3 linked regions of the Rattus norvegicus genome follow. The protein of the gene in region 1 interacts with the protein of each later gene in a pairwise test. Links are inferred from orthologs where the notes say so. Each region holds a gene or a part of one and is shown on either strand. Other genes may lie near its edges.

What was found.
Region 2: the proteins of Ddx6 (region 1) and Zbtb8a interact in binary tests that used the Homo sapiens proteins (3 or more experiments, as listed by UniProt). The two-hybrid records come from large-scale screens. The link is inferred for Rattus norvegicus from reciprocal best matches to the Homo sapiens genes DDX6 and ZBTB8A.
Region 3: the proteins of Ddx6 (region 1) and Sipa1l2 interact in binary tests that used the Homo sapiens proteins (3 or more experiments, as listed by UniProt). The two-hybrid records come from large-scale screens. The link is inferred for Rattus norvegicus from reciprocal best matches to the Homo sapiens genes DDX6 and SIPA1L2.

Annotation. Positions count from the first base shown.
Region 1 is NC_086026.1:53,834,835-53,838,968, reverse strand, and holds part of Ddx6 (probable ATP-dependent RNA helicase DDX6), read right to left. Parts: intron 2,800-4,134; coding exon 2,736-2,799; intron 1,531-2,735; coding exon 1,426-1,530; intron 1-1,425.
Region 2 is NC_086023.1:146,984,518-146,988,651, reverse strand, and holds part of Zbtb8a (zinc finger and BTB domain-containing protein 8A), read left to right. Parts: intron 1-285; 5' UTR 286-323; coding exon 324-1,146; intron 1,147-2,674; coding exon 2,675-2,844; intron 2,845-4,134. UniProt on the Homo sapiens protein: May be involved in transcriptional regulation.
Region 3 is NC_086037.1:70,287,246-70,291,379, forward strand, and holds part of Sipa1l2 (signal-induced proliferation-associated 1-like protein 2), read right to left. Parts: coding exon 4,023-4,134; intron 3,459-4,022; coding exon 3,377-3,458; intron 1,118-3,376; coding exon 971-1,117; 3' UTR 1-970.

The DNA of each region.
Region 1 (4,134 bases):
AATCCAAATTAATGATATTGCTAATCAGACTAAATGTACCTTCAGATTCAGCACCTAGAGAAATCTGCTTTGCAGTATTTTTGTTGAGAAAACATGACTTGAGATAAATCACAGGGACTCATGAGAAATATATATTTAAAAAAATAAGTGGAAGAGTCTAGGGATGCAGCTCAATTGCCAGAGTGCTCTCCCAGCAGGCAGAACACACTGACTTCCATCTCCAACACTATATAAACCAGACAAGACTTCACAAGCCTGCACTGCAATCCCAGTGCTCTTCTATGGAAGGGTTACAAGTTTAAGGTCACTTTTAGATACAGAGTTTGAGGCCAGTTGGGATACATAAGACCCTGTCTCAAAAAGCAACAGAGCCAGTAAGATAGCTTGATAGAAAAAAGTACAACCACCTGTGTCTGATCCCCAGAATCTACAGAGTAGAAAGAGAACTGACTCCTGTAAGCGTCTGACCTCTGCACATTCACAAAATGTTAAAAATAAAATCCAGGGGCTAAACAGATGGTTCAGCAGTCAAAAACACTAGCTGCTCTTCTAGAGAGCTCAGATTTGATTCCCAAAATCCACATGGCAGTACAAGACCACTTAAAATTCCAGTTCCAAGGGATCCAAAACCCTTGTCTGGCCTCCTCAGGCACTGCACACATGTGCTACATGAACATACATGCAGGCAAAACACTCAAACACATAAAAATATAAAATTTTAAATAAATAGAAAAAATACTGAAACCATCAACCAATGACACGACACACAACCCTTATTCTTGGGAAATAAACACCAAGAGACTCATAAGAAATGGATTCTGTGATTTAACCCTTAAAAGCTCAAGAAAAAAGCTGGGAGTTGTGGTGTTTGCCTATAATCCTAGATTTGTGAGGCAAGAAACAAGAGCTCAAAGATCACTTCCAGCTATACTTCAAATCCAAGGCTAGATGGACTAGCGCTCGCACTCGCTCGCTCTCTCGCTCTCTCTCTTTCTCTCTCTCTCTCACACACACACACACACACACACACACACACACTCTCTTCAGAAAAATACTGTCCTTGCACACACAAAGACAAAAGACATGTAACACTATGGTTCACAACCATCTTTAACTCCAGTTCCAGAGGCTCTGAGGTCCTCTTCTTGCTTGGTACCAGACATACATGCAGATAAAACACTCCATACATGAGAACATTATTTGTTTATTTATTTTGTTTTATTGTTTTTCAAGACAAGATCTCTGTGGTTCTAGCTGTCCTGGAACTTACTCTGTACACCAGGCTGGCCTTTGCCTGCCTCTGCCCCAAGTACTGGGATTAAAAGTGTATGCTACCACATCCAGCTCTAAGTATTTTTGAAAACATTTGCTGAAGTGTATAATGCATGTTATATAACCTTCATGTAACAAAAAGGACAAACATACCTGAATAGGAGATGGTTTTTCCCAGCCCATTTCAAAAATTCCCATTAGCAACTCTCGTTTCAAACAGTAATCTTCAAACTCATTTCCTTTTGTGGAGGTCACATCCTAAATCAAACAAATAAAATACATTTGAGGTTCTTTCACAGTAAGCATGCTTAAACGTATGCCCGACAGACTGAACCCTTTCTCCACTTCAATATAAAGACACCTATTACTACTGCTTTAATCTCTATGTCAGCTTTCCCTGAAGAACAACTAACTACACTACCTTCAACAAATAAACACACTTTAAAAATGGATCTTTGGGCAAAACCAGGTATGACCAAAGTGCAAAGTACAATATTTCTTTCTACATAAATAACATTTGATTAGTTTTTTTTTTTTTTTTTTTTTGCTTCTTTTTTCGGAGCTGGGGACCGAACCCAGGGCCTTGCGCTTCCTAGGCAAGCGCTCTACCACTGAGCTAAATCCCCAACCCCATTGAACGCCTGTTCTTATACACTCATACACAGTAGTTATAATACCTAACCTGTTTATCTCACTGATACACAGGCTGAGAAAAAGAAACTGAGAAAATTAGGTTATGATATGCAGTTAGGCTGAGGGCAGAGACAGAGATGCAGAGGCAGGGGCAGGTGGATCTCTGTGTGTTCAACGTTGGCTTGGTCTACAGAGTTAGTTTCAAGACCACCAGGGCTACACAGGAAAACCCTGTCTGGGAAAAAAAGAAAACAAAACAATAACCAAGGTATGTATGTGTGCACGCACACAGACACACACAACTTAATATACATTATACCTATTGTCTAATCCCATCAAAGACTGGTAGGAAAATTTTGGCAACCCAGTATCTATTAACTATACAGTTCCAACTATTTCAACACATACAGTCTCAGCTAAACAGTAAACCTTCAGTTGTAGTGAAAAAACTAAAGGTGCTCAAACATAAAAACCCCTGTGCTAGCCTGCTAGTGCACAGCTAACTACCCCTGTGCTAGCCTGCTAGTGCACAGCTAACTACCCCTGTGCTAGCCTGCTAGTGCACAGCTAACTACCCCTGTGCTAGTGCACAGCTAACTACCCCTGTGCTAGCCTGCTAGTGCATACCTAACTACCCATGTGCTAGCCTGCTAGTGCACACCTAACTATACTCCCAGCACCAATGAGGCTACGGGAAAGACCAAGATTGTGTAGTAGCCCTGGACTACACAGGATAATATCTCAAAAGAAAACAAAGCCGACACATTCCACGTCATTTCACGTAACTCCTTTACTTGTAACTTCCATTTGAAATAGAACACCCCACTTACCGAAGTTTTAATTCTTAGATCCTTTGGAGGGAGTTTTAAAGTCTTTTTCCAGTCATCACCAGGTCTAGAGAGAATATTGTAAGCATGAAGTTATCACAATTCATAGCTTCCTCCTTAATAATACAAATGAAACACCTCAAATAGAACCATCCCTCTAACAAGCACAATGAGTTTAATACACTCAAACACTTAACACAATTAGCAAAGGCATCAACTTCAGGAACGTGTTCTTGGGAACTCATTAAGGAAGATGAAGACTTATCACCAGGGCTGGAGTAACCAAGTGTTTGTCAAAATGTGTTTTATTTCATCCACATAGTTGGTTTTTTGTTTGTTTGTTTGTTAGCAGCAAACATTTAACCCCTAAATTTCATGTAAAGGCTCAGATTCTGGACTTTCTTTTAAAAACTGCTAGATTCAATCCACAGCACTTTAGGAAGACACACTTTGGCAATAATGTTTCAAATTCCTGTATGGTAACAGTTTGGTAGACCTGAGTAACTACATTAGCCCCCTTTTTTGTAATGCTAAGAAACTGAACCCAGGTCACTGGACAAGCTGGGGAATTTCCAGTGGATTACCTAGTAACCAGAACTTAAACAATAAGTACCTTCTAGTTTGGTGCTCTATAGTCATCCAAGCCTGTAACTTATGGTAACTAGCTGATTCTTGTTAGAACCAAGAGAACCTACAGTCCTACCTACCTTGAAGAATGAGGTAGAAAGACCACCTGAGCCTGGAAGCCCCAGGATAATCTGAACAGAAAGACCTTGACCTCAAACACAAATGCACACAAAGTCCTGAAGTTTCAAATAGAGGTTAAGTCTTGATTTGACTCCTATTCCTTCTGTGATGCTGTTCCAATTACTTCCCCCAAACCTCTATTCTCTCACATACAAACTGGGTGTCTAATAATTTTTATCAATAATCTATAAAGAGGTGGCACGATGTCATGAATCAGGTAATTTCAGCACTTGGGCAGCCAGTCTGGGTTATGCTAAGTGTGGTCTCAAAAAGCAAATAGGTAATTTTGAAAAGTAGTCAGTACTATACCTAACACATTAAGAACATCTTAGTCATTTCACTTGGAGACTCTTGAAATTGTAACCAGAACACCCGAAGCTTGATTTATCTAAGGCTACAGCCCGCACATAAAGCACAAACATTCCAATACTGGTATCTTTGTTTACGAAAGCTTGCTATTCAGTCCAGATTGGCCTCCAACTCATGATCCTCTGCTTCAGTCTACAGCACTGAACTTTCTAAGCAAAAACATGGCGGATAACAACCTAGTAAAATCGCTTGCCGAATGCACTGTCAAATTGAACAATGCATAGTATATAATATACAGTGCAAAAACTGGTCTACAAATTACACTCATTTACATATTTTAAAAAAC
Region 2 (4,134 bases), on another chromosome or scaffold:
GACAGAATCTTGCAAATTTTCCAGGCTGACCTCGAACCCTCTGTAGCTCAAGCAGGCCTTGAGCTTGTAATCCTCATGCCTTAGCCTTCTGAGTAGCAGGGACTGTAGGCCAGCGGTAGCCGCTCCTGTGGGACCCGCTGTCTTCTGTGTCTTGGGAACTATTTTATAAGAAGAAAAGAGGGTTAGCTGGGAAACCGATCTTTCTGATTAGTACTTTCACCGGCAAGTTGCAGGCTTGTTTCTTAGGTCCTCTCCGGTACCCACGTATGTCCTTACCCCCTTTAGGTCCTCTCCGCTACCCACGTGAGTCCTTCCCCGGCAAAATGGAGATCTCCTCGCACCAGTCCCACCTCCTGGAGCAACTGAATGAGCAGCGCAGGCAAGACGTGTTTTGTGACTGCAGTATTCTAGTCGAAGGCAAGGTCTTCAAGGCGCATCGGAATGTATTGTTCGCAAGCAGTGGCTACTTTAAAATGCTGCTTTCTCAGAACTCCAAGGAGACAAGTCAGCCAACCACAGCCACGTTTCAGACCTTCTCCCCCGACACCTTCACGGTCATCCTGGACTTCGTCTATTCCGGCAAACTCTCTCTTACTGGACAGAATGTGATAGAAGTGATGTCTGCCGCGAGCTTCCTTCAGATGACTGACGTCATCAGCGTGTGCAAGACTTTCATTAAGTCCTCCTTGGATATTAGTGAGAAGGAGAAAGATCGCTACTTCAGCCTCTCGGATAAGGACACCGGCTCTAATGGAGTAGAGCGTCCCTCTGTCTATAGCAGCAGCTGGCAGGAAGATGGCGGGTCTCCCCGCTCTCACCTGAGCCCAGACCAAGGACCAGCCATAGTGAGTGGAAAGCCATGGAACAAGTACAGTTACCACCCAGCCTCCCAGAGGAGTCCTCAGCCACCATTGGCCAAGCATGAGCAAAGGAAGGACCCCATTAAGAAGACCAAGCACTTGAGATTGCCACAGCCATCTGAAGTTGTTCATTTCAAGTCGGGCAAAGGAGATGCTCGGACATCCGATTCCGGCCACCATGTTTCCCAGTCTGAAGAGCAGGTCCAGGTGGATGCTGAAGTGGATCCTGTTTCTGCTGGCTACCCGTACAGCCAAGGGCCTGAGGTCGCCTCCAGGAGCTTTCCAGGTACCCCAGAGAAGCTAAGTCTCTCAAGTTTAAAGGCCCTTCATTTTAGGTGCCACAGCAGTTTTAAAGAGATTTTTACATTATTTACATGTGTGTGTGTGCGTGTGTGTGTGTGTGTGTGTGTGTGTGTGTGTGTGTGTGTGTGTGTGTTTGAGCATGTCTGTATGGGTGACACCCACAGGCCAGCCAAGTGTATTGGATGTTCTGGACTTGGAATTACAGATAGTTGTAAGCTACCAGATGTGGGCGCTGTGAACCGTTCTCGGGTCCACTAGAAAAGCAGCCGTTGCTCTTCCTGAGACTTATCTCTAGCCTCTTACGATTTTTTTTTCTTTCTTTTCTTTTTTTTTCGGAGCTGGGGACCCAACCCAGGGCCTTGCGCTTGCTAGGCAATCGCTCTACCACTGAGCTAAATCCCCAACCCATGATTTTTTTTTTTTTTTTTTTTTTTTTGGTTCTTTTTTTCGGAGCTGGGGACCGACCCCAGGGCCTTGCGCTTCCTAGGCAAGCGCTCTACCACTGAGCTAAATCCCCAAGCCCCCCCATGATTTTTTTTAAGTCATACTTTTTACTTAAATTTATTTCATAGGACCTGGAGAGATGGCTCAGTGGTTAAGAGCACTGACTGCTCTTCCTGAGGTCCTGAGTTCAATTCCCAGCAACCACATGGTGGCTCACAACCATCTGTAATGGGATCTGATGCCCTCTTCTGGTGTGTCTGAAGACAGCTATAGTGTACTCATGTACATAAAATAAATAAATCTTTAATATATATATATCTTTAAAAATCTCTGAAGTGGGTGGACCAGGAGGGGAGTAAAATCTGGAGTGTAAAAATAAATAATTAATTGAAAAAAAAATCGGGCTGGAGAGATGGCTCAGCGGTTAAGAGCGCCCGACTGCTCTTCCAGAGGTCATGAGTTCAATTCCCAGCAACCACATGGTGGCTCACAACCATCTGTAAAGAGATCTGATGCCCTCTTCTGGTGTATCTGAAGACAGCTACAGTGTACTTATATATAATAAATAAATCTTTTTAAAAAAAAAAGAATTAAAAAAAAAAAAGAAAAAAAATCTCTGTGAAGCAAGGTACACACTTTTAATCTCAGGATTGGGGATCAGAGGCAGGCTCATCTCTGTGAGTTTGAGACCACCCAGGACTGCCTAGTGAGACTCTGTCTCAAGCAAACAAAAACAAACAAAAATTCCTCTTTAAAAATTAATTTGCTTCATTTTCGGCTTGTATGTGTGCGCGCGTGTGCGCACGGTGTGTGTGTGTGTGTGTGTGTGGCACTACCTTTCCAAGTGTAAAACTCTAATGTGAAGGATTGGATTAGAGGGGAAGAGTGGAGGTCTGTGCAAACACGTTTTACTTCTGTGCCAGGGTTGCTCGGCAGTCCAGGGCACTTAATTCAGGTCATCTGACTTTCCCTTCCCAAGTCTGGACCCAGCAACTCCTGGATCCCTTACGCTGACAGAGTCGTTGCCGTGCTCTCTGCGGTGATTTAACCCCACTGTCTCCTGACAGACAATCTGCCCAGGCTACGGTTCAAGTGCCCATACTGCACACATGTGGTAAAGCGGAAGGCGGACCTCAAGCGCCACCTGCGCTGCCACACAGGAGAGAGGCCCTACCCGTGCCAGGCCTGTGGGAAACGCTTCAGCAGGCTAGACCATCTGAGCAGCCACTTCCGCACGGTGTGTATGCAAGTTCTCGCCGTTTTGCTTCTATGTGAGCATTTATCTGCTTTCTCTCCCTCTCCCTCTCCCTCCCTTCCCTCTCCCTCACCCTCCCTTTGTTTTTACCCCCTTCTTGTGGTACTGGGGGACTGAACACTTCATCGTGCATGGTAAGCAAGGTCTCTACCCTTAGTTAGATCCCCAGCCCTGCTCTTATCTGCTTTAATAATCTAAGTGAGGCATGGGAAGGGGGTTCACTCAGTAAAGTGTTTGCCACACAAAAGTGCGAACTTGAGTCGGGTTCCCCAGCAACTACAGAAAAACATAGCATGATGATGATGATGATGATGATGATGATGATGGTGATGATGATGATGGTGGTGGTGGTGATGATGATGATGAAAACATAGCATGATGATGATGATGGTGGTGGTGGTGATGATGATGATGAAAACATAGCATGATGATGATGGTGGTGGTGGTGGTGGTGGTGATGATGATGATGATGATGATGAAGAAGAAAACATAGCATGGTGATGATGATATGATGATGATGAAAACATAGCATGATGATGATGATGGTGGTGGTGGTGGTGGTGGTGATGATGATGATGATGATATGATGATGATGAAAACATAGCATGATGATGATGGTGGTGGTGGTGGTGATGGTGGTGGTGGTGGTGATGATGATGATGATGATGATGATGAAGAAAACATAGCATGATGATGATGATGATATGATGATGAAAACATAGCATGATGATGGTGGTGGTGGTGGTGATGATGATGGTGGTGGTGATGATGATGATGAAAACATAGCATGATGGTGGTGGTGGTGGTGGTGGTGGTGATGATGATGATGGTGATATGATGATGATGATGATGATGAAGAAAACATAGCATGATGATGATGATACGATGATGAAAACATAGCATGATGATGATGATGGTGGTGGTGGTGGTGATGATGACATGATGGTGATGATGATGGTGACGACGACATGAATCACCCTAGTGTGGTGGCTTGCACTTGTAATTATAGCTCTAGGAAGCAGAGGCAGGAGGCTCCTGGAATTCTAGCTGGTCTTGCTGAATCAGTGAGCTCCAGTTTAGTGAGAGATTTAAAAAAAAAAAAAAAAAAAGGTTAGAGGGGCAAGGAGATGCTCAGTGGTTAGAGCACTGGTTTTTCTTGCAGAGGTCCCGGACTTGGTTCCCAGCACGCACACGGTGGTTCGCAGCTATCTGTGACTACAGTTATAGGTGATCTGACACCATCTTCTGTACTCTAGTGGGTACCAGGCACAC
Region 3 (4,134 bases), on another chromosome or scaffold:
GGTCCTCAGCTTGCCCACCCGCTTCAGTCAGGTTTGGGTGAGCTCAGTCACTGCCTGCCTGCCTCCTGCCTTACAGCTAGCCCAGGTGAAACAGACTCATATAAAATTAACAAGTTAGGGTTAAATAAGCTTAAATAAGAGCGTTAAATACAAGACACTTTGTCAGAGGTTCTGTACAAAGATAAACAGGTCTGGGTTGTACACAGGGCCCTGCTGGTACTCAGCAGCGGGGTCTATGGGGAGGGCAGACTGACTGACTGCAGCAGAGCAACTACGAGAAAGCAAACTACACGCAGAAGTGACTACCAACAGGTCCAGCTGTTCACAAGGCATTCGCATCTCTTTTCTTAAAAAAAAAAATTCAGAACACTGTTAATATTCAGGCACCGTTTGTTCCTGCAAATAAATACGTCTCTACGGCAACAGTGTTCGTGCTAGTGTTAAACTTCAGGGCTTGTCTCTGACAGAGCTCTGCAGACTGCTTACTGCACCCTTCTTATTGCTATGATAATGTGGCTGTGGAAATAAACTACTGTACATCCAAAAAAATAGAGCACCTTTAACATTAAAGTACACGTCGATTATCTGCCTCCCTATTTATTTACAGTCCGACAGCCCCGCTACAGTACACTGGCTTAGCGTCTCTGCAGGTCACCCGCTCAGGTTAGTGACACCTAGTTCTCTCCCAAAGGGAAGCTGAGGCCAGAGCATCGTCAGGGAACCATTCAGCTTCTGTTAGCATCCAGCAGTTACATTCATCTTCTGCTGCAGCCACCTGGGAGTCCAGGCCCCCGACCTGCCTGCTGGGGTGAGTAGTGAGACACAGACAGACAGTGAGACATCTACCTACAGGTGACAGAAAGCACATGTAAAAACTGCATTGCCGACTTGGAAGGGACCACAGGGAGGCAGGCTGGCAGGCAGGCTGACTGACCAGCCCGGGGTCCCACGGTGAGGAGCGGCGAGCTGATCAGACCTTTTTGTCAATGGTGCTAAAAAACCACTCGGTGAACGTGCGTAGCTGGGCTGTGGCGGTCTGTGACTCTTCCTGCAGTCGCATGTTGTCCTGCCTCAGGTGCTGGACCTCAGCCTGCAGCACCGCCTTGTCCTGCTTCTCCTGTGTGGCAGAGACAGAGGGTGTTACAAGGTCAGCTACTTCTACTGAGCTGCACACGAGGGTCCCAGGGTCTTGCCTGGGTTTTGTTGTTCACGCAGAGCCACCCTAGGCTCTTGGCTCCCTCCGTATGTTCTTAAGGAAGAGCAGAGCTGCTGTGTAGGAAGTGATACTACCCCACACCACCTGGAGGAGAGATGGCCAGGCTGGTGGGAACCCCTCCTGACTTGAGGGCTCCTTTCTACCCAAGACTGGCCCAGTGTGGCAGCTGCGATGCTAACTCGGGGACAGCTGTTTGGCCTCTCACGCCAAGCGATTCTGGTGCTGGCATAGCTCCATGCTGCCTTCAAAGATGGCCTCTCAGGACTACGTAATAGGACTTTAAAAGTAACTGCCTTCGATGCTTCTACCATGAGAAACACTTGACAGACTTCAGATCTCTAGAGCTGAGGGGCAGAACAGTCATAGCAGCTACTGCTCTTAGTGGCTCACTGCTGTGATACACAGTGGGTGAGCGGGGTGAATCACTCCCTCAGGGCGTCTGTCAGGGCGTCTGCTTCCACCCTTCAATAGCCTCCCAGTTCCCCAACTCTACCCTGTCCATGCGTCCTGTCTTTAAGGCCTTCTCAACACTAATGGACAACTCTAGAGGCTGGTTCCTCCTCTCTCTCCAACCCACACTTCAGCCCCTTCTAGAACAGCTTCAGGTTTTTACATCCTGGCCCACCGCCATGCCCTGGTTCCAAAGGAAGCTTCCTGGTGTCCACCTCCACTGTCTTCTAAGCCCACCTGGACGGTCCCATTCCACCACCTGCCCCACACCACCATGTCTTCCTTCCCCAGTGCTCCTGCAAGGAAGGCTCTTGTTCCTCTGGCAAGCTGGTACAGACCTCCTCGGGGAGCTCAAACTCTGTGTTTCCTGATGGACTCATCAAGGGTACATCACCACTAATGTGCTACATACCCCGGGGGCCCTTGTGCCTCTCTTGTTGTCCTAGCTAGACCAAGTTAGTTAAACTCAACTGCCCTGGTGTCCATATCTGCAAAGGAGATAAGCAGTGAGCTGTGTCTGTCTGCCTGGGGCTCTGCTGGCTTAGAACAAAGAAACCTTAGTCTAGGCAGACTTGGGAAGGAGGTCCCTGGAGCTGGTGTGTGCGCGTGCATGCGTGTGTACACACACACACACACACACACACACACACACACACACACACACACACACACATCCCCTCTATCAGGATCACCTTAGCAGGAAGTGAAAAAGCAGCCTTGCTGGCAGCTCAGCTAAATACCCCCTGGCAGTTTCCCCTGCCCTTGACCTTAACTCTAGCTCCTTAGCTGGTGGTGGGAGACGGTGACCATCAGAGGTCAACACGTGAGTGTGCACGTGCACACAGACCCACATGTGTTTAACGTGTGGCAAAAGCTGTCCCAGTGCCCATCCTAAGTCAGCTGCTTCCCTGGCACACTAGGTAAGAACTAGACTCTTGTATAATTAATTTTCTTCACTAGTTCCTTCCGGCTTGGCCAACCCCATCCATGTTTACACCAGCTATGATGTAACACAGCAAACCAAGCCTACATCCCAGGAGGCTTCTGAAGCCCTCTGTGACTCCATCTCCCTCCAAGGGCAGCAAAGGCACCTAGCACAGTAGGGGCACTGCAGTGGGAACCAGCATCTTGTTCCTCTGGAGAGAAGCCAGCACATGGACAGACTGACTGACTGACTGACTAGCTGACTGACTGACTGACTGACTGACTGACTGGCTGGCTGGCTGGCTGGCTGACTGACTGACTGACTGACTGACTGACTGGCTGACTGGCTGGCTGGCTGGCTGACTGGCTGACTGACTGGCTGGCTGACTGACTGACTGACTGGCTGACTGGCTGACTGGCTGACTGGCTGACTGACTGGGCTCTTGAAGGTCTCATCTTTGGTGAGTAACAGATCCTCCTCTGGGTTGGCTCACATGTGGCTGTTGCAAGCAAAGCCTCAGGGGATCTCACATTTAGAAGACATAGACACTCGCAGGCCTATTTACACGGAAAAGAGGCAGACCTGAGTTAATTCCTGGGAGCCACAGTAGGACTCTATGTGCCCTCAGGGGAAACCCCACACCAGCTGCCGGTGAGAAGATGAGAGGAGACAGAGGGAACCTCCTTCCCGGATCCAGGTCGGCTGAGGGTCTTATCCATGTATTTGCAGGAATTAAAAGGGGCTCGATGTGGGCAAAGCACTCAGAGGACTCCGCAATCACATACCTTCCGGAGGTCAGTCTGCAGCTGTCGGAGAATCAGTTCTAGCTGGTTAACTTTCCCAGTCAGTGTGGAGGGTGATCGCTCCCTGGGAAATGTACAATTAAGAGGATTTAAGAGACTGAAGGCTAGGATGTTGCTTGTGTTCATGTTAGCAAACTTTTCCCTGAAAATACTGTGTGTAAGTTGACAAGGTCCCCCATAGCTACCACCATGAACTCAGAACTGGTAAGACACTGAGGATGGTAAGCCAACAAAGCCAGGCTTATTTAAGTGGAGAAGAGGCAGACCAGAGTTAAGTCCTGGGAGCCACAGTAGATATGACTTCCCTAACCTGTAGGCAGATAATTGGATCAGGGATCAGATCTGGGAAGAACTGTGCTCTAGGCAGGTCCACAGCATGAGTGGCCTGGCTGGCCAAGACTGACTGACAAGGGGTCATGCCTGGTGCTTTTGTAGTAATTAGGCAGCTGACTGGAGGTTGGCTTCTGTGGCACAGGCAGCCAACAGGCAGGATCTGTCTATGCTGTGTGAAAGTCACATAGACCAGTGACATCTCTTCCGGTATTCAGGTCAGTCCCACTGTAAGACTCTCTCCAGCCTGGCCTTGGATCCCTAAATTTTGGGACAGTGGGAGGGAGGGTCTACATACCCTGGTGTATCCATGAATTCTTTGCCACTGGTGGGATCTACACACAAGGACAGCTCTGGGGCCCCTTCTAGTTCTTGTCCATGCTGGAGGTCGGTCAGGGTGCAGAAGGAGG